4 linked regions of the Anolis sagrei genome follow. The protein of the gene in region 1 interacts with the protein of each later gene in a biochemical or structural test. Links are inferred from orthologs where the notes say so. Each region holds a gene or a part of one and is shown on either strand. Other genes may lie near its edges.

Evidence for each region.
Region 2: the proteins of SP1 (region 1) and KLF10 form a complex in vitro, tested with the Homo sapiens proteins (2 studies listed by BioGRID). The link is inferred for Anolis sagrei from reciprocal best matches to the Homo sapiens genes SP1 and KLF10.
Region 3: the proteins of SP1 (region 1) and CCNA2 form a complex in vitro, tested with the Homo sapiens proteins (2 studies listed by BioGRID). The link is inferred for Anolis sagrei from reciprocal best matches to the Homo sapiens genes SP1 and CCNA2.
Region 4: the proteins of SP1 (region 1) and ESR1 form a complex in vitro, tested with the Homo sapiens proteins (6 studies listed by BioGRID and IntAct). The link is inferred for Anolis sagrei from reciprocal best matches to the Homo sapiens genes SP1 and ESR1.

Annotation. Positions count from the first base shown.
Region 1 is NC_090022.1:190,698,085-190,705,368, forward strand, and holds the start of SP1 (transcription factor Sp1), read right to left. Parts: upstream 3,013-7,284; 5' UTR 2,845-3,012; coding exon 2,838-2,844; intron 2,603-2,837; exon of another isoform or gene 2,498-2,602; intron 1-2,497. UniProt on the Homo sapiens protein: Transcription factor that can activate or repress transcription in response to physiological and pathological stimuli.
Region 2 is NC_090024.1:30,001,677-30,009,355, reverse strand, and holds the start of KLF10 (Krueppel-like factor 10), read right to left. Parts: upstream 3,017-7,679; 5' UTR 2,802-3,016; coding exon 2,766-2,801; intron 1-2,765.
Region 3 is NC_090025.1:36,496,796-36,504,360, forward strand, and holds the start of CCNA2 (cyclin-A2), read right to left. Parts: upstream 3,010-7,565; 5' UTR 2,881-3,009; coding exon 2,710-2,880; intron 1-2,709. Other genes in the region: BBS7 (Bardet-Biedl syndrome 7 protein), read right to left, coding at 6,505-6,641. UniProt on the Homo sapiens protein: Cyclin which controls both the G1/S and the G2/M transition phases of the cell cycle. Functions through the formation of specific serine/threonine protein kinase holoenzyme complexes with the cyclin-dependent protein kinases CDK1 or CDK2.
Region 4 is NC_090021.1:72,370,546-72,378,355, forward strand, and holds the start of ESR1 (estrogen receptor), read right to left. Parts: upstream 3,015-7,810; 5' UTR 3,000-3,014; coding exon 2,939-2,999; intron 1-2,938.

The sequences.
Region 1 (7,284 bases):
GCCCTAGATCCCAGGATCTGATCCCAGGTATTCTGTTTACTCCAGATTATCTGGCACTGCAGACTGATAGGTCCCTTCCACACAGGACTATATCCCAGAATATCAAGGCAGAAAATATCGCAATATCTGCTTTAAACTGAGTTATCTGAGTCCATGCTCAGATAATGTGGGATTTTCTGCCTTGATATTCTGGGATATAGGGCTGTGTGGAAGGGACCATATAATCCAGTTTAAAGCAGAAACCTGAGATCAGATCCTCGGATATAGGGTCTGTCTGGAAGGGCCCTAAGTTAGGCTGCACTAGAAAAATAATGCAGTTTGACACCATTTTAAGTGACAGAGAACAATGCTATTGAATCATGGGATTTGTAGTTTGGTGAGGCATAGAAGGTAATCTGGGCAAAGAAGGTTCAAGGTCTTGTTCAAATAACCCCTAGACATTGAGCCATGGCAGTTAAAGTGGCATCAAACTGCATTAATTCTACAGCATAAATGCACCCCAGGAGAAAGGATAGCTCTGTTTTATGCGTGTGAGGAAACACACAGATAAGGCCAAAGGGCGGAAGCGAGGCCTGGGAAAACCCCCAAGTGCATGTCACATTTCGTTTCCAAGGGCCCTTCCACATAGTCATATGACCCAGAATATCAAGGCAGAAAATCCCACAATATCTGTTTTGAACAGGGTTATATGGGTCCACACAATACTGCAGTTCAAATCACATAATGCTGGATTTTATTCACCTGTGTGGAAGGAGCCTCAGGGCCCTTCCACACAGCCATATAACCCAGAATATCAAGGCAGAAAACCCCACAATATCTGCTGTGAACTGGGTTATCTGAGCTCACACTGCCATATATCTCAGTTAAAAGCAGAAAATGTGGGATTTTATTCAGATGTGGAAGAGGCCTCAGACTGTCTGGCAACATATATCTGATTCCTACAGACAGAAGAAGCCTAAGGGCCCTTCCAGACAGGCCCTATATAGCAGGATCTGACCCCAGGTTTTCTGTTTATCCCAGATTATCTGGTCGTGGGGACTCATATAATCCAGTTTAAACCAGAAAACCTGGGATCAGATACTGGGATATGGGGCCTGCCTGGAAGGTCCCTAAAAAGGACACAGTGGACGGTTGGTGGGCTCTTGCATTTTAGGATCTGAGTTTCCTTCCAGTCCCTAGTTGTCCTCAGCGAGGCATTGGGAAGAAGCCCACTCCCCTCCCACAAGGCCTGGACTTTGAGCCCAGCCCCTCATTCCAGTTGAGGCCCTTCCACACAGCCCTTTATCCTGTAATATCAAAGCATAAAATCCAACAATATCTGCTTTGAACTGGGTTACCTGAACCCACACTGCCATATATTCCAATTCAAAGCAGATAATGGGGGATTTTCTGCCTTGATATTCTGGGATATAGGGCTGTGTGGAAGGGCCCTGAGCCGAAACTGTGGAACTGTAAAGCAGTGGCACAATGGGTTAAACCAGGGGTCCTCAAACTAAGACCCGAGGGCCAGATACGGCCTTCCAAGGTCAATTACCTGGCCCTCGCTCAGGGTCAACCTGAAACCTTGAAAGCACACAACAACAATCCTATCTCATCAGCCAAATGCAGGTCCACATTTCCTATTGAAATACTAATAAATTTATATTTGTTAAAACTGTTCTTCATTTAATTATTGTATTGTTTTTAAGCATTGTTGCACTACAAATAAGATATGTATAATGTGCATAGGAATTCATATTTTTTCAAATTATAATCTGGCCCTCCAACAGTTTGAGGGATTGTGACCTGGCCCTCTGTTTACATAGTTTGAAGACCCCTGGGTTAAACTAGCACTCTGTTTAAAAACTTTGCGGACCCCTGGGTCAAACCCTTGTGCCGCCAGGACTGAAGACCTACAGGTCGGAGGTTCGAATCCGGGGTGAGCGCGGATGAGCTCCCTCTGTCAGCTCCAGCGCCCCATGCGGGGACATGAGAGAAGCCTCCCACAAGGATGGTAAAACATCCAAACATCCAGGCGTCCCTTGGGCAACATCCTCGCAGACGGCCAATTCTCTCACACCAGAAGCAACTTGCAGTTTCTCAAGTCGCTCCTAACACGAAGAAAAACCCACTTTAAGCCGCCCGTTTCGCAGTTTGGTGAGGCGCCAACCAACAGCCAAGGCAAGGCTTTTGAGGCCTTGTCAAAGGGACACCTCGGAGGAATCCGCAGCACGGAGACGAAACGGCGGTTTAAAATGGCGCCAGGACGGTTTTAAACTCAGATAGAGGCCTACTCTGTAGTGTTTTTTAACCCCCCCCCCCGAAGGCCTTGCCTCTGAGGCTGAGAGAGTGTGACTTCTTCCCAAGCGGGGATCCGAGTCCTGGCGCCCACAAAAAAGGCGCACTCTGCACGTGCTCAGGGGCACTCTGGTGAAAGGCGGCAGCGGGGGGGGGGGGGTTCCATTTAACCCCTGGGTGGGTGGGTGGGTAGTTAAGCCAGCAACACGGAAATACTAACCTCTAACGAAGGTTAACTACACAGAAGTAGTAGGAGAAGGTAGGGACGGCCTTCCTTTTCCTGAGAGACATTCCCACCCGGAACCCTCTCTTCCGGCCTCCTCCTCGTCCTCCTCCCCTCCCAAGAAGCCCCTTCTCCTCCTCCTCTTCCTCCTCCTCCTGGGGCCCCTCCCCGCCACAGGTTGGCCCTGCCAATGCCGTCCCCTCCCCTCGCTTCGCTTCCCCTCCCCTCCCCTCCCCTCCCCTCCCTGGGGGGCTGGGCCAGAGCGCGAGGGAAGGCCGGCGGGAAGCACGCAGGCGGCGCCCCCCTCTCGGCCCGGCCCAAATAGTCCCGTCCTTACCGCTCATGTTGGCCGAGGCGAAGAAGTAGGCGAGCCCAAGCGGCGCCGGAGGGGTGTCCTGGGCGGGGGCAGCGGAGTTTGTGGGACGCGGCTAAGCCTAACCCCCACCGGTGACCGCCAAAGGCCTGCTGAGGGGAGGGAGCTGTGCCCACACAGCCCCCAAGGCCAAGCGCCACGCCTCCCGCCTCTCTCCTCCAATCACAGGCCTCTCTGGGCGTGGCTAGGGATGACTGGCGCCTCGCACAGCCAGTCGCGGAATTACAAAAAAAAAAGAAGGCGTGTGGAAAATGCGGGGAGGGGGGGTGGAAGGGGGAGCAGTTTACCAAAAGCTCTCCTTTCGGGAAACGCCTTTCGAAAGAAGCCCCACCCAAGTGTGGGAGGCGGGGCTTGGAGAGTGTTTGGGAACTGGGAAGTGATGTCGCAACCGACCAATCGGCGACCGCGTCGGGTAGCCCTGTCACGAACTCGTCCGACTCAACTGCCTGGCGTCCAATCAAGAGACGAGGCCTTTCCGTCATGGAGAGGAAGGCGGGGACTGACAGGACGATTAGCCAATCGGCATCACGAGCGTTTCAGAGCGAAGGATTGAGCAGCCAGAGAGCAGCAAGGAGAGAGGAGGCGGAAACAGTGCCTGCTCCAATGAGGATCGAGGATGGCCTTGAATTATCCAATGGGAATGGCTGCTCATTTGGGCCATTGGAACAGGGTGACGGGCGTTGGCGCCATTTTAGCTCGGGCCTACTCCACCCCCCTTCCTCCATTTGACGAAGGGATTATGCAACCAGAACTGACGTCGGTCGTTTTTCCTCCCTTGAGGCTCGTTGGAGAAATGCTCACTTCCGGTCATAATGTAAGAGGCGCCGCTGAGGTGGCTTCCTTCGTGTGCCACGACGCCCCCCCCCCTCCACACCATAATCAGTGGGTGCTCAAGACCTTCTATATGTGTGTGAATATATACACAGTGGTGCAACTGTTTGGTCTGCCCCTGACACGATAAATAAATAGTGTAGTGAAATTGACTCCCATGTATAGAAGGGCCAAATCAGCTTTTGCTTTTGAGAGTGACATCCTGGATTATTTGTAAGCAGTGGATGGTGGAGTCTGTGGATACGGAGACCTGTCTATACCTTGTCGAATTAGTGCAGTTTGACATCACGTAATAATGGCTACGTCTCGATCCTATGAAATCATGGGAATTGTAATTTGAGGCCTACTCAGCCCTCTTTGGCACAGAAGGCGAAAGACCTTGTAAAACTATAACTCCTATGGTTTCATAGCATTGAGCTGTGGAAGTGGATCAAACTACATTATTTCTAGAGTTAACGCCGGCAAATGGAGGGAGGTAGATATAATTAGCTTGTTTATAAAGCTATTGTCCTCCCAACCCTGCTATACGCCTGTGAAACGTGGACAGTCTACAGACGTCACATGCAACTCCTGGAATTATTCCATCAGCACGGCCTCCAAAAAATCCTGCAAATCTCTTAGGAAGACAAGCGGACAGCGTGCTGGAAGAAGCAAAGACCACCAGCACTGAAGCGATGGTCCTCTGCCATCAACTCAGCTGGACCGGCCACGTTGTCCGGATGCCCGACCACCGTCTCCCAAAGCCGTTGTTCTACTCCGAACTCAAGAACGGAAAACAGAATGTTGGAGGATAGGAAAAGAGATTTAAAGACGGGCTCAAATCCAACTTTAAAAACTCTGGCATAGACACTGAGAACTGGGAAGCCCTGGCTCTTGAGTGCTCCAGTTGGAGGTCAGCTGTGACCAGCAGTGCTGTAGAATTTGAAGAGGCACGAATGGAGGGGGAAAGAAAGAAACGTGCCAAGAGGAAGGCACGTCAAGCCAACCCCAACGGGGGCCACCTCCCACCTGGAAACCAATGCCCTCACTGTGGGAGAAGATGCAGATCAAGAATAGGGCTCCACAGTCACCTACAGACCCAGAACACCGAGCTTGGAAGACCATCATCCTCGGACTACGAGGGATCGGCTGAGTAAGTAAGATATAATTAGGCTTTCCTTCGTTTGTTTTCAGAGCATTCCATGGGATTTTAAAGACAAATACAAGATGAGAACATCGCTTTGACTAGGAGCAAAGAGATCCTAGTCAAATCTCTTTGACTAGGAGATTGCATGTGATCAAAGATCCCACTCAAGGTCACACTGAAGTCCAGAATGCCTTGAATTGGTCCACTCAGGCGTATTACAGTGAAGGGCCCAAAGACATTGACACCAAAATACAACATCGTCTTAGCTCTGCAAGTGCAGCACTTTCTCAAATGAAGCAGAGAGTGTTCGAGGACCAGGACATCCGTAGGCAGACCAAGGTGTTTGTTTATAAACCTATTGTCCTCCCAACCCTGTTATATGCCTGCAAAATGAGACGTCTACCAATATTATACTCGACTCCTGGAATGATTCCATCAGTGTTGCCTCCAAAAAAAATCCTGCAAATCTCTTCAGAAGACACGTGGACAAATGTCAGCATGCTGGAAGAAGCAAAGACCACCAGCATTGAAGCAATAATCTGCTGCCATCAACTCCACTGGACTGGCCATGTTGTCTGAACACACGATCACCATCTCCCAAAGTTACTATACTCCCAACTGAAGAACAGAAAATGGAAGGTTCGTGGACAGGAAAAGAGATTTAAAGATGGGCTTAAAGCAAACCTTAAAAACTGTGGCATAGACACTGAGAACTGGGAAGCCCTGGCCCTTCTCTAACTGGAGGTCAGCTGTGAGTAACAGTGCTATGAAATTCAAAGAGGCACGAATGGAGGGCAAAAGGGAGAAATGTGTCAAAAGGAAGGCATGTCAAAAGGAAGGCATGGGTCGTCTCTCTGGGATGGGCCTTGGGGGCACGGTTCTGTCGTGGCTCCAGTCCTTCCTGGAGGGACGAACTCAGATGGTGAAGCTGGGTGACGCCTGCTCGGACCCCTGGCCTTTGACCTGTGGGGTCCCGCAAGGCTCTATTCTGTCTCCCATGCTCTTCAACATCTACATGAAACCGCTGGGAGAGGTCATCCGGGGTTTTGGAGTTGGGTGCCATCTCTACGCAGATGACACACAACTCTACTACTCCTTTCCACCTAACTCCAAGGAGGCTTCCCAGGTGCTAGACAAGTGCCTGGCCGCTGTGTCGATCTGGATGAGGAAGAACAAGCTGAAGATCAATCCCGATAAGACAGAGGTCCTCTTGGTCGATCGTAAGCCGGATCGGGGTATAGGGTGGTTACCTGTGTTGGACGGGGTTACACTCCCCCTGAAACCTCAGGTCCGCAGTTTGGGTGTCCTCCTGGATTCTTCGCTTACACTTGAGGCTCAGGTGTCGGCGGTATCCGGGAGGGCTTTTGCGCAACTGAGACTCGTGCGCCAACTGCGACCATACCTCGTGAAGGCTGATCTGGCCGGGGTGGTCCATGCCTTGGTCACCTCTAGAATGGACTACTGCAATGCGCTCTACGTGGGGCTACCCTTGAAGACGGCTCGGAAACTGCAGCTGGTCCAACGTGCAGCAGCCAGAATGCTAACTGGAGCTCATTATCAAGAGAGGTCTACCCCTCTGTTCAAGGAGCTCCACTGGCTGCCTTTCATCTTCCGAGCCCAATTCAAGGTGCAGGTGCTCACCTATAAAGCCCTAAACGGTTTGGGACCACCCTACCTGCGTGACCGTATCTCCATCTACGAACCTACACGCTCGCTTCGATCATCTGGGGAGGCCCTGCTCGTGATCCCGCCTACGTCGCAAGCGCGTTTGGTGGGGACGCGGGACAGGGCCTTCTCCGTAGCGGCCCCCCGACTCTGGAACGCCCTCCCAAAAGATCTCCGACAGGCCCCTACACTAGCAGTTTTCAGAAGGAACCTGAAAACTTGGCTGTTCCGTTGTGCCTTCCCGGATTAGGAACCCCCATCCCAAGTCCTAATAGCACTTTAGCACAGTTAATATTGCTGCACACCGTACTTTAATCCCGACGCCCCTCCTACCATTTCAGCACTTTTAACCTTGTACCTCTCACCGGCCGAACCAGTTTTTAATATGTCCTGATGTATAGTTACTGTTGTATTGCTAATTTTGATTTGATTTGTTTTTGCTTTTTAATTTGCTTTGTTTATTGTTTGTTATGTTTTCTATTGTATTGTGTTTGTGGCTTCGGCCTGTGTAAGCCGCATCGAGTCCTTCGGGAGATGCTCGCGGGGTACAAATAAAGTTAATAATAATAATAATAATAATAATAATAATAACAACCCTAGTCAGAACCATATTCCACCTGGAAAATGATGTTCTCACTGTGGAAGAACATGCAGGTCAAGAATAAGCCTCTACAATGAGCTGTGGATCCACCTCCAAAACCCTACACTTGGAAGGCAATCATACTCGGACATGAGGGATCACCGATGAATGCAGGCATCCTCAACCTGTGGCCCTCCAATTCCCAGAAT
Region 2 (7,679 bases), on another chromosome or scaffold:
ACTGATTTTAAGTGGAATTTTTTCTCTAGTGTGGTGCTTTTCTCTCACTAGAGAAATATATATATACATACAATATATTATGTTATTAGCATAATACAATATCAGTATTAAATATTACTATATTGTACTATACCATTATATTGTAATATTATTAATAGTATTACATGTAATATAAATATATAATTATAATATATAATAATTATTAGTATTATATTGCATAATACTATATTATAAATATATGTATATACAATATATTATATTATATTATTACATTATACAATAATGTAATAACAATTCAAGAGAGATATTGACAGGCTGGAATGTGTCCAGAGGTGGGCGACTAAAATGATCAAGAGTCTGAAGAACAAGCCCTATGAGGAGCGGCTTAAGGAGCTGGGCATGTTTAGCCTGAAGAAGAGAAGGTTGAGAGGAGATATGATAAGGTAAAGGTAAAGGTAGTCCCCTGACACTAAGTCCAGATATGATAGCCATGTATAAATATGTGAGAGGAAGCCACAGGGAGGAGGGAGCAAGCTTGTTTTCTGCTTCCTTGGAGACTAGGACATGAATCAATGGCTTCAAACTACAAGAAAGGAGATTCCATCTGAACATGAGGAAGAACTTCCTGACTGTGAGAGCCGTTCAGCAGTGGAACAACAACTGCTTCCCAAGTCCCGCCCTTGCCTCGCCCAACCCCAACTGATGCCCCTTATAATAGACGCGTCCAATCTTTATAAATGTATGTTCCATTGAATGTCTTCATTGCAAACTTATTTTGCATGCAAGGAAGGCTTTTTTGTAGGACTCTCATACTCGGAATCATTACTTTTCCTTCTAAGCCAGGCAACGGCTAACTTGGGCTCTCCCTTAGGTGTTTTGGACTCCGACTCCCACATTCCTCACAGCCTCTCTGCCCCGGAGTGTGGTGGAGGCTCCTTCTTTGGAAGCTTTTAAACAGAGGCTGGATGGCCATCTGTCAGGGGTGATTTGAATGCACTATTCCTGCTTCTTGGCAGGGGGTTGGACTGGATGGCCCATGAGGTCTCTTCCAACTCTTTCATTCTATGATTCTATATCTTTATATATGTTCAGTAATAATTATATTTAATACTAGCCATCACCTGCCATGCACTGCTGTGGCCCAGTCTGTACATATGTATTTTGTGTGTGTGTGTGTGTGTGTGTGAGATATATATATATATATATATATATATATATATATCTTGTCAGGAGCGACTTGAGGAACTTCAAGTCGCTTCTGGTGTGAGAGAAGTGGCTGTCGGCAAGGACGTCGCCCAGGGGACGCCCAGATCTTTTTGATGTTTTATTATCCTTGTGGGAGGCTTCCCATTATTATTATATAGTATTATTATTATATAGTACTAGCCATCCCCTGCCACATGTTGCTGTGACCCAGTCTGTATATGTTTTGTGTGTGTATATATGTGTTTATATATTTGCATATATGTGTATATATGTGGTTTTGTGCATGCTTTGTAATGTATTTTCTTTTGGCTTTGAAAAAAGACAGTCTGGATGGCCATCTGCTGAGAGTGTTTGGGCTGTATTCCCATGAAGGGCAGACAGCGGATTGGACTTATTATTATTATTATTGTGTATGAAGATGTGGGGCCCCTGGTGGCGCAGTGGGTTAAAGCACTGAGCTGCTGAGCTTGTTGACCAAAAGGTCGCAGGTTCGATTCCAGGGAGCGGTGTGAGCTTCCGCTGTCAGCCCTAGCTTCTGCCAACCTAGCAGTTCGAAAACATGCAAATGTGAGTAGATCAATAGGTACCGCTCCGGCGAGAAGGTAACGGTGCTCCATGCAGTCATGCCGGCCACATGACCTTGGAGGTGTCTACGGACAATGCTGGCTCTTCGGCTTACAAATGGAGATGAGCACCACACCCCAGAGTCAGACATGACTGGACTTAATGTCAGGGGACTACCTTTACTTTTACCTTTTTATGAAGAAAAAACACAGACTGGATGGCCATCTGTTGAGAGTGCTTGGGCTGTATTCCCATGAAGGGCAGACAGCGGATTGGATTTATTATTATTATTATTATTATTATTATTATTATTATTATTATTATAGTGTATTAAGATGTTGTCTTGGGAGGGTGTGAAAAAACACAGTCTGGATGGCCATCTGTTGAGAGTGCTTGGGTTGTGTTCCCATGCATGGCAGACAGGGGATTGGACAGGGCTGTTGGGTCCCGCCCTCCTCTAAGCGCCAATCAAGACTCCCTCCGCACCTTGGGCCACGCCCCCTTCTCAATCCCAAACGCGCGCGGCTTTTTAGGCCACGCCCCCTCCTGAGAACTAGGCCACGCCCCCTCCTGGACAACAACTGCTTCCCAAGCCCCGCCCCCGCCTCGCCCAATCTCAACCGATACCCCTTATAATAGTCGCGTCCAGTCTCTATTAATGTATGTTCATTGCAAACTTATTTTGCATGCAAGGAAGGCTTTTTTCTAGGACTCTCATACTCAGAATCATTACTTTTCCTTCTAAGCTAGGCAAGGGCTAACTTGGGCTGATCCTTAGGTGTTTTGGACTCCCACTCCCACCATTGCGCACAGCCTCAGGACCCTTCCTTTTCCCCCTCAGCCGCTTAAGCGAAGGGTCCTGAGGCTGTGCGCAATAGTGGGAGTGGGAGTCCAGAACACCTGGAGGCAGAGCCCAAGCTAGCCCTTGCCTTTGCCTAGCTGCAGTCCGTGTCTCCCCCTCCCAAGGCATATCCCGGGTTGGTGGTCCTACTCACCGCGATCTGCAAAGGAGAGGCTCCGAAGTTGAGCATGGCTCCTGCTGCGGGGCGGCTCTAGGCAAGCTGTGCTGGGCGCCGCCTCGCTTTCCCTCTTTTTGTCTCCCATTCAGGTGGCGGGTCCCCGGGCCGAGGCGGGCGGAGAGGCGGCCAATGGGCGGCAAAGGTGTGCGCCCAGCCGGCCAATGGGCGAGCGGGGCCCACGCGTGATCAGCGGGTGCCCGGCAGCGTGGAGACGGAGTCATCTCGGCGTGCGCATCCTCCGGCCTCGCTCAGCCCTTGGGGAAAGTCCCGCGGGAGGCTGAGTCAGGAGGCGCGCCTCTTCCCACCCCCTCCATTCCTGCCTCCCTTCCTTCCTTCCTGCAAAGAGGTGATGGAGAGGGGCATGTTTGGGATCTTTCCCTTGCCTCCATCTTCCTGAGTGTCAGGCACCTCCCAACAAAGGACTCCCCCAGGCAACAAGCAGCCAGGCTTTGAAGCTGCAAGGTCATCCTCAGTCCATTCTGCACGACTGCCCCCATCTTCCTGAGTGACAATATTTGGCCTTCAGGCACCTCCCAACAAAGGATTCCCCCAGGCAACAAGCAGCCAGGCTTTGAAGCTGCAAGGCCATCCTAGGCATCCCCCAGGCAACAAGCAGCCAGGCTTTGAAGCTGCAAGGCCACCTCAGTCCATACTCAATCTTCCTGAGTGACAATACTTGGCCTTCAGGTACCTCCCGACAAAGGATTCCCCCAGGCAACAAGCAGCCAGGCTTTGAACCTGCAAGGCCATCCTCAGTCCATACTCCATCTTTCTGAGTGTCAATACTTGGCCTTCAGGTACATCCCAACAAAGGACTCCCCCAGGCAACAAGCAGCCAGGCTTTGAAGCTGCAAGGCCGTCCTAAGTCCATACTCCATCTTCCTGAGTGTCAATATTTGGCCTTCAGGTACCTCCCGACAAAGGACTCCCCCAGGCAACAAGCAGCCAGGCTTTGAAGCTGCAAGGTCATCCTCAGTCCATTCTGCACGACTGCCCCCATCTTCCTGAGTGACAATATTTGGCCTTCAGGCACCTCCCAACAAAGGATTCCCCCAGGCAACAAGCAGCCAGGCTTTGAAGCTGCAAGGCCATCCTAGGCATCCCCCAGGCAACAAGCAGCCAGGCTTTGAAGCTGCAAGGCCACCTCAGTCCATACTCAATCTTCCTGAGTGACAATACTTGGCCTTCAGGTACCTCCCGACAAAGGATTCCCCCAGGCAACAAGCAGCCAGGCTTTGAACCTGCAAGGCCATCCTCAGTCCATACTCCATCTTTCTGAGTGTCAATACTTGGCCTTCAGGTACATCCCAACAAAGGACTCCCCCAGGCAACAAGCAGCCAGGCTTTGAAGCTGCAAGGCCGTCCTCAGTCCATTCTGCACGACTGCCCCCATCTTCCTGAGTGACAATATTTGGCCTTCAGGCACCTCCCAACAAAGGATTCCCCCAGGCAACAAGCAGCCAGGCTTTGAAGCTGCAAGGCCATCCTAGGCATCCCCCAGGCAACAAGCAGCCAGGCTTTGAAGCTGCAAGGCCACCTCAGTCCATACTCAATCTTCCTGAGTGACAATACTTGGCCTTCAGGTACCTCCCGACAAAGGATTCCCCCAGGCAACAAGCAGCCAGGCTTTGAACCTGCAAGGCCATCCTCAGTCCATACTCCATCTTTCTGAGTGTCAATACTTGGCCTTCAGGTACATCCCAACAAAGGACTCCCCCAGGCAACAAGCAGCCAGGCTTTGAAGCTGCAAGGCCGTCCTAAGTCCATACTCCATCTTCCTGAGTGTCAATATTTGGCCTTCAGGTACCTCCCGACAAAGGACTCCCCCAGGCAACAAGCAACCAGGTTTTGAAGCTACAAGGCCATTCTAAGTCCATACTGCACGACTGCCCCCATCCTCCTGAGTGACAATATTTGACCTTCAGGTACCACCCAACAAAGGCCATCCTAAGTCCATACTCCATCTTCCTGAGTGACAATACTTGGCCTTCAGGCACCTCCCAACAAATGATTCCCCCAGGCAACAAGCAACCAGGCTTTGAAGTTGCAAGACCATCCTAAGTCTATACTCCATCTTCCTAGGTGACAATATTTGGCCTTCAGGTACCTCCCGACAAAAGATTCCCCCAAGCAACAAGCAGCCAGGCTTTGAAGCTGCAAGGCCATCCTAAGTCCATACTGCACGACTTCCCCCATCTTCCTGAGTGACAATATTTGGCCTTCCGATACCTCCCAACAAAGGACTCCCCCAGGCAACAAGCAGCCAGGCTTTGAAGCTGCAAGGCCATCCTAAGTCCATACTCCATCTTCCTGAGTGTCAATACTTGGCCTTCAGGTACCTCCCAACAAAGGACTCCCCCAGGCAACAAGCAGCCAGGCTTTGGAGCTGCAAGGCCATCCTAAGTCCATACTGCACGACTGCCCCCATCTTCCCGAGTGACAATATTTGGCCTTCAGGTACCTCCCAAGAAAGGACTCCCCCAGGCAACAAGCAGCCAGGCTTTGAAGCTGCAAGGCCATCCTAATTCCATACTGCATGGCTGCCCCATCTTCCTGAGTGACAATACTTGGCCTTCAGGTACCTCCCAATAAAGGACTCCACCAGGCAACAAGCAGCCAATACTCCATCTTCCTGGGTGACAATACTTGGCCTTCAGGTACCTCCCAATAAAGGACTTTACCAGGCAACAAGCAGCCAGGCTTTGAAGCTGCAAGGCCATCCTCAGTCCATACTCCATCTTCCTGAGTGACAATATTTGGCCTTCAGGTATCTCCCAACAAGGGACTCCCCTAGGCAACAGGCAGCCAGGCTTTGGAGCTGCAAGGCCATCCTAAATCCATACTGCACGACTTCCCCCATCTTCCTGAGTGACAATATTTGGCCTTCAGGCACCTCCCAACAAAGGACTCCCCTGGGTAACAAGCAGCCAGGCTAAGTCCATACTGCACAGGTCTCTGTGCGGACATGCGGGGGTTTTTTTTGCCCCGCATGGAAAATCAGTGATTTGGTGCTGTCTGGAAGCACCCCTAGTCCAACACTCAAACCAGTACATGCTAGTTTTCAAATTTGTTCCATCCTTCTGTGTTTTTGTGCCTTCTATCACTCTTGCCTCAATGCCTTATTGTAAGCTGCAGTCCTAAACTCAGTGATAACTGAAGAATTAAGGACCTCAACACACTAGAGACTGAATCCACTTTAAATCTGGTTTCTGACTCCTTCAGAATTCTGGGATTTGTAGTTTAGGGAGGATCCTTCAACAGCCTCCCTAAACAACAACCTCCAGAATTCTGCAGGAGGCAGAAACAGGATTTAATGTGGATTCATTCTCTAGTGTGATGAAGTAGTAAGTGCACACCTAAGTGTAAATATTATGGTCAGCATTGCTACTTCAGCATTTATACAAACTGAAGATCCTCAAATACAGAAGCAATGTAAGGTGTGATCATTTTGCTGCAATTTAGGCACAAATTGCACTCACAATATTGCTCTCATGTATGTCCCCTGTCTGAATAAATGGGTATGCAAGATGAACCTATGCTGAACATGTATGACATTTGAAGCTTCAAGTCCATCCTGTCCATACTGCACAACTGCCTCCATCTTCCTGAGTAACAATATTTGGCCTTCAGGTACCTCCCACCAAAGTACTCCCCCAGGCAACAAGCAGCCAATACTCCCATCTTCCTGGGTGACAATATTTGGCCTTCAGGTACCTCCCAACAAAGGATTCCCCTAGTAAAGTGCTCTAGCCAATAAATGGGAATGTTACATTTGAATAGGAGTGACTTTTTAAGACTCCCACCTCCGCCTAAAACTTGTTGGATGGCCTTGTACCAATCTGTCTCTTACCTGGGAATCTGGCTTATCCAAGGCCATCTAGATAAGGTTAGTCTAAATAAGAATCTTACCCCTTCTTTCCCACATTTGATCAACACCTTCGTTGCAAGGGCTCTTTATTGACAGACTGCCTTCTGCATAAGGAGTCAATGCTTACTCGTGCCTAGTTTTAATAGACATTTTTCTTGTGTTTCTAGAGTTAATGAGACACATCCTCTCCATATGATAATTATACCTAATCACTAAATGATAATATATTGGAAATGCAAAATCATTAAGTCTGAACAGGGATCATTTATTACTCTGATCGTATTGTGGCTTTTTTTAGTATATTATGCCAATATTCCAGAAAGCCACAGGATTAGCCTGAAAGATATATTACATTAGTGGGCAGTTCTGAATTAGGGTAAAGGTTTCCCCTTGACATTAAGTCTAGTCATGCCTGACTGGGGGGTGGTGCTCATCTTCATATCTAAGCCAAAGAGCCAGCATTGTCCATAGACACTGTTGCCTTCCTGCAGAAGCGGTACCTATTAATCTACTCAGATTTGCATGTCTTCAAACTGCTAGGTCGGCAGAAGCTGGGGCTACCATTGGGAGCTCACTGGTCAGCAAGTTCATCAGCTCAGCGGTTTAACCCACTGTGCCACCAGGGGCTCCAATAGTTCTCAATTACGATGGAATTCTAAAGTTTATATCCTGAGAAATTGGGGAATGTGTTCAACCTACTAGATGAACTTTAGTGAATTTTAATCCGCTGAGCTGCTGAACTTGTTGACCGAAGGGTTGCAGCTCAAATCCAGGGAGCGGAATGAGCTCCCACTATTAGCCCCAGCTTCTACCAACCTAGCAATTTGAAAACATTGAAATGTGAGTAGATTAATAGGTACCGCTTCTGCAGGAAGATAACAGCGCTCCATGCAGTCATGCTGGTCACATGACCTTGGAGGTGTCTACGGACAACGCTGGATCTTTGGCTTAGATAGGAAGATGAGCACCACCCCCCAGTCAGACATGACTAGACTTAATGTCAAGGGGAAACCTTTACCTTA
Region 3 (7,565 bases), on another chromosome or scaffold:
TGAGACTGAAAAAATATAGCAAAATGTGCGGCAAAATGTCCCACGGAAACAAACTTTCACCATGTTTTTGTGATAGAATCATTTTTTTCATCGTGTGAGAGAATTGGCCATCTGCAGGAATGTTGCCCAGATGTGTTACCATCCTGTGGGAGGATTCTCTAAAATCCCTGTATGGGAAGCTGGAGCTGACAGACAGGAGCTCACCTCAAGGATTCAAAACACAGACCTTCAGGTCAGTAGTTCAGCCAGAACAAGGGTTTAACCCAGGCATGGGCATACTTCAGCCCTCCAGTTGTTTTGGACTTCTAACTCCCACAATTCCTAACTGCTTCAGGCCCCTTCCTTTCCTCAAGCTATTAGGAATTGTGGGAGTTGAAGTCCAAAACACCTGGAGGGCTCAAGATTGCCCAGGCCTGAGTTAAATCCATTGTTTCACCTTGGCTCCTAGATAGAACCAATTAGGAAATGGCATTTATAATCCAGGAACAAAACTTGTGTTACATAGTGTAACAGAAAGGAGATCACATTGAAGAGGGTCCAATGCTTGTTTTCTGCTGCTCTGGAGACACAGAGCAATGGATTCAAATTGCAGGGAAAAATATCCCACCTAAACATTAAGGAAGAGTTCCTGATGACAAAAGCTGTTTAATGGTGGGCTAGGCTGCCTGGGAGTGTGGGGGAGTCTCCTTTTGCAGAGGGGGAGCTGGATGGCCATCTGTTTGGAGGGCTTTGGTTTTGTTGTATTTTCCTGCAATGTGGTTGGACTGGGGGGGGGGGGTCTCTTCCAACTCCAGCTGGATATCCAAGAGCAGAAGGAAAATCTAAAGCAGTGTTTCTCAACCTCCCCAATTCCGCGGCCCCTTAATGCAGTTCCTGATGTTCTAGTGACCCCCAACCATAACATTATTTTTGTTCCTACTTCATAACTGTAATGTTGCTACTGTTAGGATTCTGAACCTCACCGATGATAGAATTGGGTCAAACTTCTGACACGGAACCCCCACGACCAACAGAAAATACTGTGTTTTCCAATGGTCTTTGGTGACCCCTAGGTTGAGAAACGCTGACCTAAAGTATTCAACCAACCCAGTGGTTCTCAACCTGTGGGTCTCCAAATGTTTTGGCCTTCAACACCCAAAAATCTTAACAGCTGGTAAATTGCCTGAGTTTTCTGGGAATTGTAGGCCAAAACACCTGGGGACTCACAGGTAGCGAGGCTGGATAGACACTGCTATATAATGCAGTGTGGAGGCTCAGCTGAGTTGAGACCATTTAGGCACCAGGTGTATATATGTATATTTGTGTGCATGTGTATATGTGTGTGTATATATGTATATTTGTACATATATATATATACACACACACACGTGTGTATGAATCTGTGCATGTATTTGAGTGTGTGTATATATGGTGTATTTTGGGGGTTTTTAAGTCTGTTCCGCTGGAGTTTTTTGCGTGTGTGCGTGTTTAGGGGTAATGGACACTCATTGGACTGTTAGGTGTATTGTGTCCAAATTTTGTGTCAATTCGTCCGGTGGTTTTTGAGTCATGTTAATCCCAGAAATGAACATTACATTTTTATTTATATAGACTAATACTACTACTACTACTACTACTACTACTAATAATAATAATAATTTATTATTAGCAACTCGAAAAGCGATTTAAAGATTGAACTGCAAAGACTCTGGCACAAACCAGTCAAGGAGGTCCCAGTGGGGATCAGCACACTGGGTGCAGTGCCTAAAGACCTTGGCCTACACTTAAAAACAATCAGTGCTGCCAAAATTACCATCCAACAGCTGCAGAAGTCCTGCCTACTCAGAAATCCCATGCATTATTTGCTGATATGTCACATAGTCCTAGACTAGTGGTTCTCAACCTGTGGGTCCCCAGATGTTTTGGCTTTCAACTCCCAAAAATCCCAACAGCTGGTAAATTGCCTGGGTTTTCTGGGAATTGTAGGCCAAAACACCTGGGGACCCACAGGTAGCGAGGCTGGATGGACACTGCTATATAATGCAGCGTGGAGGCTCAGCTGAGACTATTTAGCTGAGACCAGGTGGTTGTGAAGGTTCAACAGGGGAAGGAAGGAAGACTACAGACCTTGAGGAAGGAATGGGGCCGGCAGTGGGGAGAAGAGACCTGATCTGAAATGCAGATTTTTGTAGAGGAGCCAGGCCGCTGAGGCGTGGAAAGCGCGCCAAGCTGTCCCTTTACATCCCGCCAAAGGAAGGAATGCATGGGATCAGGGGAGGTGTAGTTCCGCCAAGGTCTTTAGTAGTCTTCTGCTATGAACAGTTGAAGCGATACCAAACTGCATTAATTCTAGTGTTGACTAGGCTTGGGGAAATTTGGGCCCTCCAGGTGCTTTGGACTTCAACTCCCAGCATTCCTAACAGCCTCAGGCCCCTCAGCTTAAGCGGCTGAGGGGGAAAAGGAAGGGGCCTGAGGCTGTTAGGAATGCTGGGAGTTGAAGTCCAAAGCACCTGGAGGCCCAAATTTCCCCAGGCCTGGTTTAGCTGTACCTGAAGGGGTCCCAAAGCCCAAAAAAGGCCTGAACTGGGCACCAGGCCTCAAGAGGCCCTCTTAGCCAGAGGAGGCGGAACTACAACTCCTATGGCTCTGGGAGCATCCTGCACGAGCCCAAAATGGCGGCCGAGCAGGCCCAAGCGTCCCTGCTCCCCTTCCTTCCCTAGGCGCCTCTACCTGGACCGGGTCCGAGGAGCAGCGCTGGTTGGCCTGCAGCAGCCCCAACGCCAGCCGCTGCCCTTGCCCTCCCGGGAGCTTGGCCGAGGCGCCACCATCCTTCACCGCCGGGGGAATGTTCTCCTGGTTCTCCAGCTCCGAGGCGGCAGCAGCGGTGGCGTCCGTCAGCATGATATGATGGGATAGAGAGGAGGCTCCTGCTCCGGCGGCGGCACAAGCTCAATGGAAAGGCTCGGCGTCCGTGGCTCTTGCACTTCCACCGTTCAAGTAGCCCGCGAGGATTGAATCGGCCAATAGGGAGGGAGAACGCCCTGACGTCACTGCTTACGGGAGCCCGCGAGGGTCGAGAAGTCGGTTTGAAAGGAATTAGCGGGAGGAGGGGATTGGCTGGCGGGGAAGGGGGCGGTCACGTGGCTATAAATAAGCAGTCACTTAGGCTGAAGACAGGTGGCGAGCGGGGTTTCTGTCATTACCTTCCTCGGAAAGACAGGAAACCTCCAGGGAGGTTCCTTATTGATTCCTCACACTAGAATACTTGCTGTGAATTATTTCTCTTTTTTGTTTATGTAGGTGCTATGGATATATATTATTACTATTATTTTTATAAGTTACTATTTTATATCATGACATTACATTTATTATATACTAGCTGTCTCCTGCCACACTTTGCTGTAGCCCAGCCTGTGTATATGTTTTATGTGTATATAATAATTGGCTCCACTGGCTGCCAATTAGCTTCCGAGCACAATTCAAAGTGCTGGTGTTAACCTATAAAGCCCTAAACGACTCCGACCCAGTTTACCTGTCCGAATTCCGTTCTCCCCTATGAACCATCTAGGTTGTTAAGATCATCTGGAGGGGCCCTGCTCTCAGTCCCACACCCACCTGGTGGGGATGAGGGACAGGGCGTTCTCGGTGGTGGCCCCTCGACTCTGGAACTCTCCCACTGGAGATCAGAACTGCCCCCCCCCCCCCATTCTGTCGTTCAGAAAACAGGTGAAAACCTGGCTATGGGGTTTGGCTTTCGACGAGTGAATCAATATTTCTGTGATCGGATGGATGACGATGAATGACGGACAACGAATTCACTATGACGACTGACCATTGTTATTATGTGATTGCATTTTGCCGTTTTAACATTTTAATTGAATATGTTATATGACGTTTTTAATGATTGTTTTGTGATATTATTGTTGGAAACTGGCCCGAGTCCCCCGATAGAGGGGAGAAGACCGGTATACAAAATTGCTAAATAAATAAATAAATAAAATATAATAATAATACTTTATTTATACCCCGCTACCATCTCCCCAAGGGACTCATTGCGGCTTACATGAGGCCAAGCCCACAGTACATCAGTAAACAAAGGCAATAACAAAAACAATAAATACAAAACAGTTAATATAAATCACATAAACAAAAACAAAAAAACAATAACAGTAACTCACAAGCATTTAAAAACCTATGGCCGGGCCAAATGTATTAATTTAAAATTTAAAAAATAATGCTGGGTATGAACAAGGTAGGATATAACAGAAATAGGGTTTTTCAAAGAGAGATGAGGAAACGCAGTCGATCCTAAATCAATGGTAAAGTGCATTTTGAGGGCATATTGCTAACAGTTTTCCTTATATATATATATATATATATATATATATATACATATACATATATATATATAGGGGGTTGTATATGTGTGTATATATATTTGTGTATTTGTTTTTATGTGTACATGCATATTGTGTATATGTGTGTGCTTGACTATATACATATTTGTGTGTATGTATGTATGTATTTAGAATATTTGTACCCCACCCTTTTCAACCCCCTGAAGGGGGACTCAGGGCGGCTTCCAGCAAGCAACAATTTGATGCCTCAATGTACACATAATAAAATACATAACAAAACCAATAATTATATATAATTAAAAATATTAAGTCAATACAATAAAAAATTACTAATTGTAAATTAAGAACAAAAAATAAACTTCTTAAATATTGTGACTTTTGGGCCCATCCTGTATTTATTTATTATGTTTTCTTTATGATATTTTATTTATTACACACATATATATGGTCATACGTACCACATTTCTTCTATTTTAAGACACCATCAGTTGTAAAAGGAACACTGATTTCAATACTACCAACAGAAATTAAAAGCTTTATTTACATAAAGAAAAAAACATTGAGCCATGGCAGGTAAAGTGCTGTCAAACTGCATAAATGCTGCAGTGTAGATAGAGCCTTATATATCTTCATGCGACAAAGGTACGGTCCTTTTCCTGTCTCCTTGCTATACTTTGAGCTCTGATGGACCTTGTATCTTCCATCTTGCTTTCTCTTCAAAGGCATAAAGATCTGATATTCATCACACACAAAAGGCCACAAAAGTTCATGCTATAGTTGAAAAAATTTATTTATCAAATTGATTCCGACCTAGCACAGAGTTATATTTCCAATAAATAACTTTTATCCTATTTACACATGTAATAGTCTATAGCCGACAAAGTTCTATATACAGACTGGGAATTACATTATCAAGAGCAATTTTCTTTAGTGACTGGCTAATGCAGGGCACCGTTGCCATGCCAGTGCATAAATAGCAAGAACAAAGGCCTCATCTATACTGTCAAATAAAATCCAGATTATCTGTTTTGAACTGGATTATATGGCAGTGTAGACTCATACAATCCAGTTCAAGCAGATAATGTGGATTATCTGCTTTGATAATCTGGATTTTATGGCAGTGTAGAAGGGACCTAATAGTGTTGATATGGAATGTGTGATTATCAGAACTGCATTTCCAACCTAATCTATACTGGGAAGAATGATACATGCAATCTGTTACACCAATCTCAGAATTTTCTTTGTAGCTGGCAAGCAAAATACTACTTTGGCCCCTTCTACACTGCCAGATTATCCAGATTATCATAGTAGATAATCCACATTATTTGCTTTGAACTGGATCATATGAGGCCCCTTCTACACCACCATAAAACCCCCAGATAATATATATTTATAGATATGAATGTATATTTGTCAAAGAAAAAGGAATAAAACTAAATCAACATACACTAGCATTTTGGAGAAGAGGTCAATATAAGAATCATTAATATTAAGGATGAATATATGTCCCATGCATGTGGGTGCTTGTAGAGATTACATGTATAAAATATTTGATTAATTGTTTAACTGGTTTACTGTATGTTTTCTGTAAATGTTTGTTGTGTGTGATATTAATAAATAATAATAATAATAATAATAATAATAATAATAATACCCTGATTACCTACTTTGAACTGGATTATATGGCAGTGTAAACTCATATAATCCAGTTCAAAGCAGATAATGTGGATTATTTGCTTTGATACCCTGGATTTTATATAACAGTTTAGAACGGGTCTTTGTCTTTTGCACAAAATGCATGTAGTTACAGATTCAAAACCCTTAATTTTTACTAGGCTCAATCAGAATCCACAATCAGACTCTTTAAAAGCTAGTGAACTGAAAACATTTTACATGTCCTTTTAAAATTAAGGTTGTGTAAAATGTATTTAGAGTATATATGCCAGTCCTACCAATTGTTATTAAGTCACATTTCCCATATATTATGTATGGAATGTTCTTGGTAAATACCATTTCTAAATATATATATATATACATAATAAATGTAAGTTTTATTCACTAACAATTATTATTATATTTAAAATGATGTAAACAAAGATCTGGATTTGCTGATCTGCATCCTCTACATTCACTTTAGAGATTTCATATTGGTTTCTATACTTCCAGTTCATGAAGCACTATCAAAAAAGGCAAGCAATGTGTTTTGATCATAGCTTCCCAAAATTTCCAGCAGAAGAGGAACTTTGGTTTTCACATTAGTGCCTTTAAATTTAAATTTATCTATGAACAGATCTGTAATCATACCTGAAAATAAAAGAAAAGGAAATTAGTATTATTTTCAGAAGACTGATAAAAAAAAAACAAAAATAAGAGAAGTACTTCATATACAAAATTAAGGGTGAAAAGTCAAGTATTTTACATTGAAGAGCTATCACTGGAATCATTTTGCATCACATGCAGCATGTAGCAAAATGTCTAGTAAGACTCAGCATCTTTTCTAACCACTAAACTCAATGGTAAGTTTGTCATACATTTCAGTGGAAAATATTCTGCACCATATGTTCAGCAATGAGGCCTTGCATTAGCATGGATCAACATTCACACTATTATTTTAGTTTCAATTAGTACCAGATACATAGTTTTTGTTCTTGAGTAAATGCAGAGTCCCCCACAACAGCTGCAATTCACCATCAGCTCTGATACACAGCTTGGATGCTAAAGGTGGAATCCTATTGAAACAATGCACTAGCACAGCTGCTGATGTATGGACTTGCGTAAGAAAACGTCAGAAACCATCTTATACAAGCCATTCCCTGGTGCAAAACCATCCTTAGTGCTACCAATCTGGCACTGCAGCACAACATCTACTGCTTCCCACTATACTGTATTATTTATTATTTACTGTATTTATACCCTGCCTTTCTCACCCAAAGGGGACTCAAAGAGGCTTACATGTAGGCAACAATTTAATGCCAAATAAACAGACACACAAATAAAACACATATGCATAAAAACCAAAAAGTTAAAAACATCTAAACAGTAAAACCAAAAATTAAAGTCACACAGTTTTGTAGGGTCACATCTCTACATTTACATAGTCTTCCACTCCACTTGTAAAGCTAGACTTCTGCATTGATGAACTCAAACTGTATGTGCATAACAAAGTACACAATCCTGATTTTCGTTTGAAATGATGGACAGTACAACTGCAGTTTGAGAGACATCACA
Region 4 (7,810 bases), on another chromosome or scaffold:
TATCTTTTAAATGGTGTTACATTTTAATTTATATCCTAGCCTAATGTAAATGCTGTGGTTATGTGGACAGATGATTATAAGATGGAATTCTATACTGGTTACCAAGCATAAATAAAGATTTGATAAAGAGCACTTCCTGACCAACCTAAGATTAAATGGACTATGAAATCAGGATTTGAAACCCACCTAAGCTATAGAAATCCATTGGGTAACCTTGGGCAAACCGCATTCTCTCACTTTAGATGAAGCGATGGCAAATCTCCTTTGAAGAATGTTATTGCAAAAAAAATAGACTAAGGCAGGGGCACTGTAAATCAGAGTTGAATTAAAAGCATATAACAACAAGAAGAAGGGTAGCAGTGAAATAGTACATATTCCAAATATAGTCTACTCCATTCAAATGCTATATTTAAGGCATCAGACAGGCATATGAGTGTATGCTTAATCATTAATTTTAATGTGAGGTTCCATTAGGTATTTATATCACCATAAATTGGCAGCAACATAAAAACTGCAACATTGCACATTTGTATTCTCAAGAGGGGAGCAAAAGCGTAACTACGTTTCTGAGACCATTGGAGGAATGGAATCAACATCATGGATCCCATTGAGCACTGGGCACTTGATTGCTATGCAACAGAAACCATAATTGTGCAACAGGGCAATGTGTAGAAGTTCATGATACACATCATCACAATTCATTTTAAAAGGTTGTATGTTTTAAATTGTGGGTGGGACAGAGAGCTTTCATTCCAGTGTGTTATTATAACATAAAACTGGGTCTCAAGATGGCTAATCTGCTCACTGTCTGAAACCATTGTTTCACCTCTCAAAAAAGAATGTTTTTCTATTCATCTACAACACACACACACACCATAGTGTTGTAACACACATACATAACAAAAATCTAGTTTAAACCACAGCCCTATTTAATACATTAGAATATCCAACTAAACCAACTATTAATGTATTCTTTTTCATAGTAAATTATTTAATAAATTAAAATGTCAATTGATTAATACTGAAGTCTGAAGACATAAGCTATCTGAAATGATTACAGGTTTAAGGTAAAGTAAAGGTAAAGGTTTCCTCCGAATGTATTCTCCCCTACGAACCATCAAGACCACTAAGATCGTCTGGAGGGGCCCTGCTCTCAGTCCCTCCGCCTGCACAAGCACGGCTGGTGGGGATGAGGGACAAGGCCTTCTCAATGGTGGCCCCTCGACTTTGGAACTCCCTGCCATTAGAGATCAGAACTGCCCCCTCCCTCATGACGTTCAGGAAACTAACAAAGACCTGGTTGTGGAACGCGGCATTTGACAACTGATTTAATTCTTTGCCCACATGAAAGGAGGATGATGAATGGGATTGTGATGGTGTCGGACGATTTGGCTCTTTTAACTGTGATGATAATGTTTTAACGTGTATAGTGCTGATATTTTAACCGTGTAATGAAGTGGCATTGTGTTGTTATTGTATATTTTTTGTATGTTAACACATGTTGTGAACCGGTCCGAATCCCTCTTTGAAGGTGAGAGGGTCGGTATATAAAACCTCGAAATAAATAAATAAATAATAAATAAGTCTAGTTGTGTCTGACTCTGGGGGTTGGTGCTCATCTCCATTTCTAAGCCGAAGGGCCGGCATTGTCCGTAGATGCCTCCAAGGTCATGTGGCCAGCATGACTGCATGGAGCGCTGTTACCTTCCCACCAAAGCATTACCTATTGATCTACTAACATTTGCATGTTTTTGAACTGCTAGGTTGGCAGAAGTTTGGGCTAACAGCGGAAGCTCACCTCACTCCCTGGATTTGGACCACCGACCTTTCGGTCAGCAAGTTCTGCATCTCAGCAGTTTAACCTTATTACAGGTTTAGATTGTGTAAAATCACATTTCCTATTTTTTTCATTGAGAGGTGGCTACCCTCTTTTTTTAAACTAAGGCACTTTCTGTATAAATTCAAAAACTTTCTTCTTATCCAACAGTCAGCTTGGTCCAATAAAAATGTTCATGTTTTGTGTCTCATATTTGGGGTGGAGGAAATATGTCATTGCATGTTAAGACTAATAATATATTTGGGGAAAGGGGAAACCACCACATTGCACAAAGAAAATATATTCAAGAAGACATAATATTTAACAAACTCAAAACATTTACACAAAATTATATGAGCAGTAAAATTCTACCATATCAATTTTAAAAATGTAGCCAAAGCTAAAAGAGAATGCTCAAATAGGCAGTAGGTATAGATGAATAAATGAATAATTTTTTAGCCCTCAAATTCAAAATCATGCTGCATTAAAATGTTAATACATTTTTCTTTGATAGTAAAAATGTTTTATGACTACAGAAGTTTTTTATCATTCCCCAAGCCCCTGTTACAACTTGCAGAGTGTGACTTAATGTCCTTTTAAGTGAAAGGTGCTAATCCTCTGGTTTAAGGCTAGAGTTATTTAGGAATAAGAGAAAACTGCCTTCAGATTGAAACCTTATGTGCAGTTGGTCAAAATGAGATCATGTGATCCTTGCTGTAATCACTTCCTCTTTAGATCCCCGATTGGTTACAGTGGGGGCTGTGGAGGGGGGTGGCACACAAATCTCCAGCAAATAGGAACTGCCGTGCTGTCGGAGCAAATACAGAAGGGAAATTCCTGCAGTGGGCACCTCTGTACACATTTCATAGCATTTCAAATGAATGCCCTTCTCTCTTTTTCCCTTCTTTCTTTTTATGCCACGTTTACACTATGCAAAAAAAATATATTAAAGGACTTCACAAATAAAAGCGACCTTGGGAAAAAGACAGCTGTAAAGAAAGCTTTTTAATTATTTCCCCGGGCACCAGAGTTTATGCTTAGCACATTGAAATGGCAAAGAGCAATAAAAAGGTGAGCATTTGAAGAGCAGAACAGGAAAAGAGCTGAGCTATTTTGACTTACTTTTATCCCAGAAAGAAGTTTCCATTGCTCCTGTGGTCCTGCAATTGGCTGACAGGGTCATGTGACCTTGTAAACGAAAATAGAAAAGCCTCGGCAGAGTGAGACCGAAGGAAGAGAAGGCAGAGGGAAGACATGAACTTTAAAACACACAAGTCATGCCAGCTGTGTTGGCACGCCTATTATGTAGAGCAGAGTTCAGTCTCCTTGCATTTAAATGGGGACATCCAATAAGGAAGATATCTCTCAGTGATAACCCGAGAGGACCTTACTTTTCATTCTCCTCTTGACTCTGAGATGTAGATTTTATTCCCCTCCCCTATTTATATACTAATATTGTTGCTGATGTATTAGGGAGAATTATATGGCCTGCATGACTCACTTCTCAAGAGCATGTGTTCCCTGGTTATGATTCTGATGTATTGCAAAGTCAACAACTGACAACCATATCTATTTCTCACATAACAGCTATTATGTTTTAACCACAATTTATCATTGAAGTGAAAGTTTAAAACTTACCCTTTAGTATCACATTATGCCCGATCTCTGCTGACACTAAAATGTAGCTTTGAAATGACTAAAAAACCAAGGCAGCTACTAAATGCATGCCAGTAATACACTTCAGTGTGTATTTAAGGGCATACAGCACATTAATGAAAATTGCAGGAAAGTTTGAATTCAGTAAAAAAAAAATGGTACTGCAGCAAATGCCAGCTCCACAAAATGCAGCACAAACTGTAGACACTCGACCATACTGAAACACATTAAAAAGATCCCAGAACAGGGGCTGCCGAGAAGCACCCCAAGGGCATGGTTGGGCAGCATGGGGCTAACCCAGCCATGGGCAAACTTGGGCCTTGCAGGTGATTTGGACTTTAACTCCTACCATTCCTAACAGCCTCAGGCCTTTTCCGCTTAAGCGGCTGAGGGGGAGAGCCTGAGGCTGTTAGGAATGGCAGGAGTTGAAGTCCAAACCACCCGCAGGCCCCAAGTTTGCCCATGCCTGGGCCAGTCGGTACCCTGGGAGGGGTAACTGATTATCTTTGCCTCTGCCTGTTCCTTTTTTTTTCCACCCTGTATGCCTCCAGAGGATGGATGCACATCTCTCTGAGAATTTGGGAGGGGGGGGGGGCACAGAGTGGTTTAAGTCCAGGTTCTGTGTTTAATTTAATCATTTTCCTGGTCTCAAATCGGTTCCAGACTAATCCAATCTAATCACTGCAGAGTGAAACTGGTTCCTCCCAAGCTCCACCTTGTAGTTTAAGATCCACCGGGGAGGCCCTGCTCTCAGTCCCACCAGCCTCGCAAATGCATCTGGTGGGGACGAGGGACAGGGCCTTCTCGGTGGTGACCCCTCGCTTGTGGAATTCACTCCCCAGCAAGATTAGATTGGCGTCCTCCCTCCTTTAGGAAAAAATTGAAATCGTAGTTATGGAACAAGGCTTTTAGCTAGCAGGCACAATGGTACTTTGGACATTGAATTGGACCATATGATGATGGTTATAATAATAGAAATGGCTACTATGACTGTTTAATTCATGTTATTGTTTTAATCTATTGTGTATTTATGGTTTTTGTATTATTGTATATTGTGATATTATGACATCAAATTGTTGCCAATGTTAGTTGTTCTGAGTCCCCCCTCGGGAGTTGAGAAGGGCAAGGTAGAAATGTTGTAAATAAATAAATAAATAAATGTGGTAGTGTAGATGTGTTTTATGACTTATTCTTGCACTTCTTTTCTTTTTTCACATTATATTAGCACTACCTGATACATGTTCACATAGTAGGTATTGGATTTTAATTCAGTATATTAATGCAGCTCTAAACAACAGACATAGGTTTGTCTGTACAGGTTTCTTACATCCAATCTAAATAAATTTAAGCAGATATTCATATGCTTTCTAATTCTAATATTACTTCTTAATGAAGATTTCTGCATTTATAAAAAGAAATGCCTTCCAAATTGTCTCTCACCAGTAGAATAATAAGACATGGAGACATAATGTGGTAAGTCTCAGGCAAAGATTCAATAATCCCTGTTCAAATTACAGTTTACTGCCTTGTGTGGTAAAGCCCATAGTAAGCATATTACAGTCATCCTTCCACATTTGCTGTTTCGACTTTTATGGATTTGATTATTCATAGATCTGAGAAAAATTATTCACAGATTTGAATTCTTGGAAATCACTATCTCCTTCAGTGTAACCTTCCTCATGTTATGCTTGAAGATCTTGAGCAGTGCTTCCCAAAGAGTGCAATATTGCCCCCTGGGGGCACTGGAATGATCCGTGAGAGCAGCAGTAGCCTGGGTGCAATGGGGGCAAGCACTTAATAAAAAATAAGGCAGAAGAGGCAACATAAAGATCGAGGAAAATTTTGAAAAACCAGTCATACACGTGTCATCTGTTGTGTAACACAGAGTTAAAGTCGTAATGATTACTTCATTTCCCAAATGAACACACAAAATGCAAGTTCCAACTGGTCACTAGTCAAGTCTGCCGGCGGATCTTAACAGGCAAGTGTTAACAGGCAAGTGCACACATCTGCAAGAATACATTTGTATGAAGACTTGTTATAGAATATCATAGTTCACTACTTAATAGTCACACTTTTCCCCACCTATGAGCTAGCATATGAAGAAGACCCCATGGGCCTCCTCTGCTGGCACACATAGGCAAACAGAACTTACAGGACCTCCTTTGGTTACCGGCAGCTGAGGGAGACCTCATAGGAGTTGCCCACTGGTGTGCATGGGCAAGTGAGGCCTACAGGATCTCCTTTGGCATCTGAGAGAGACCTCATAGGCATTGATCACCCACATGCGACAGTGGGTGAGAATTACGGAGTCTCCTTTGGCTGTTGCCAGCAGCTCACCCACTCACACACCTGCCGAACAGAGCTATGCAGTGTGACCATTAGTGATCACACATAATGATGATGATAATAATAATAATAATAATAATAATAATAATAATAATAATAATTTTATTTCTTACTCGCACCTCCCCATGGCTTGAGGCAGGTCACAGCACAGTAAAAAACATATGAATACTATGAAAATTCTACAAACACACATATTATAATACAGTTCCATAAAAGAGGTAGATAAAACATTTGTATAAAATGCACATTAATCACACAGGACAGAGACAGAGGCAAAACAGGACATGACTTTAAAATTGATGTTTTCAGCTTTCTGAAAGATACAGGTTTTTAGATGGTGTTAAAATTTTAACAGCTGATCTAGCTATCAGAGCTCTTCCAGTAGGTCGTTCCACAGTCTTGGGGCAGCCAATGAAAAGGTCCTCTGGGTGACAGTGGCCAGTCAAGTTCTGGCTGGTTGGTGTAGCCACTCCCATCCCCCAACCAGAGGACCAAAGCATGTGGGGCAGATTGTACTGGAGAATGTTTCTCCTTGACATTAAGTCTAGTCATGTCTGACTCTGGGGGAGGGGGGGTGCTCATCTCCATTTCAAAGCCAAAGAGGCAGTATTATCCATAGACACCTCCTAGGTCATGTGGCCAGCATGATTTCATGGAGCGTCATTACCTTTCTGCAAAAGTGGAACCTATTGATCTACTCACATTTGCATATTTTTGAACTGCTAGGTTGGTAGAAGCTGGGACAATAGCAGGAGCTCACCCCGCTCCCCGGATTTGAACCACCAACCTTTTGGTCAGCAAGTTCAGCAGCTCAGCGGTTTAACCCACTATGCCACTAGAGAGTCCTGTAGGTAACCTGGACCCAAACCATAAAGCAAGTTCTTTAAAATGCATCTAGACAGCCTCATAAAATCATCAAATGTCTGGAAAAATATTAAGGTTAAATTTTCAGTGCAAATGTTCACACAGTTGATTTAAATATCCTGTTGGAATAAATCCATAAACATTTTAAAATCCAATCTCTTCTTGCAAAGATACATGGTGTAGTAAACAACCCTTACCCTTTTTAGAGAAGTATACATTTGTCGAAATTGAATATCCAGATGGCAGATGTTTTTCAGTTTACTGCCATGTCTGTGTGGAAATTACTGTATAAATCAGTAATGCAGACAGTATGCATTGTCTGACCTAAACTGATCTTTTATTTACTAATTTTCTCCAATTAAGTAGTTAAAAAGTTATCCCATCAACATAAGCACAGTTCAGACTGGCAAAAAAAAAATGGCTACAACTACATTGGTTACAGCAATTGGATTGCAGCCTGCATGAGGTCTGCATGTCACTGCTGGACAATGAGCACAACCATCTGGCCCACTGCTGAAGTACCCTGGGATAGCAGCGATGGACTCAAAAGCTCTCCTCCAACAGGGAGCAATGGGGTTTCAGTCAAAGCTTAAGCTACAGCAGACCTGCTTACTCCCCCCCCCCCCCCACACACACACCCCAAACTGCCTGAGTCTAGGTCAGTGTTTATCAACCTCGGGGTCGGGACCCCTGGGTTGCGAGGGGGGAGTCAGAGGGGTCGCTAAAGACCATCACACAACACAGTATTTTCTGTTTGTCATGGGGGTTCTGTGTTTCTTTCATTCTCTCATTGGTGTTCAGAATGCTATTTGATTGTAGGTGAACTATAAATCCCAGCAACTACAACTCCAAAATGGCAAGATCTATTTTCCCCAAACTCCACCGGTGTTCACATTTGGGCATATTGGGTATTTGTGTCAAGTTTGGTCCAGATCCATCATTGTTTGAGTCCACTGTACCCTTTGGATGTAGGTGAACTACAACACCAAAACTCAAGGTCAGTGCCCACCAAACCCTTCCAGTATTTTCTGTTGGTCATGGGAGTTCTTTGTGCCACATTTGGTTCAATTCCATCATTAGTGGAGTTCAGAATGCTTTTTGATTGTAGGTTAACTATAAATCCCA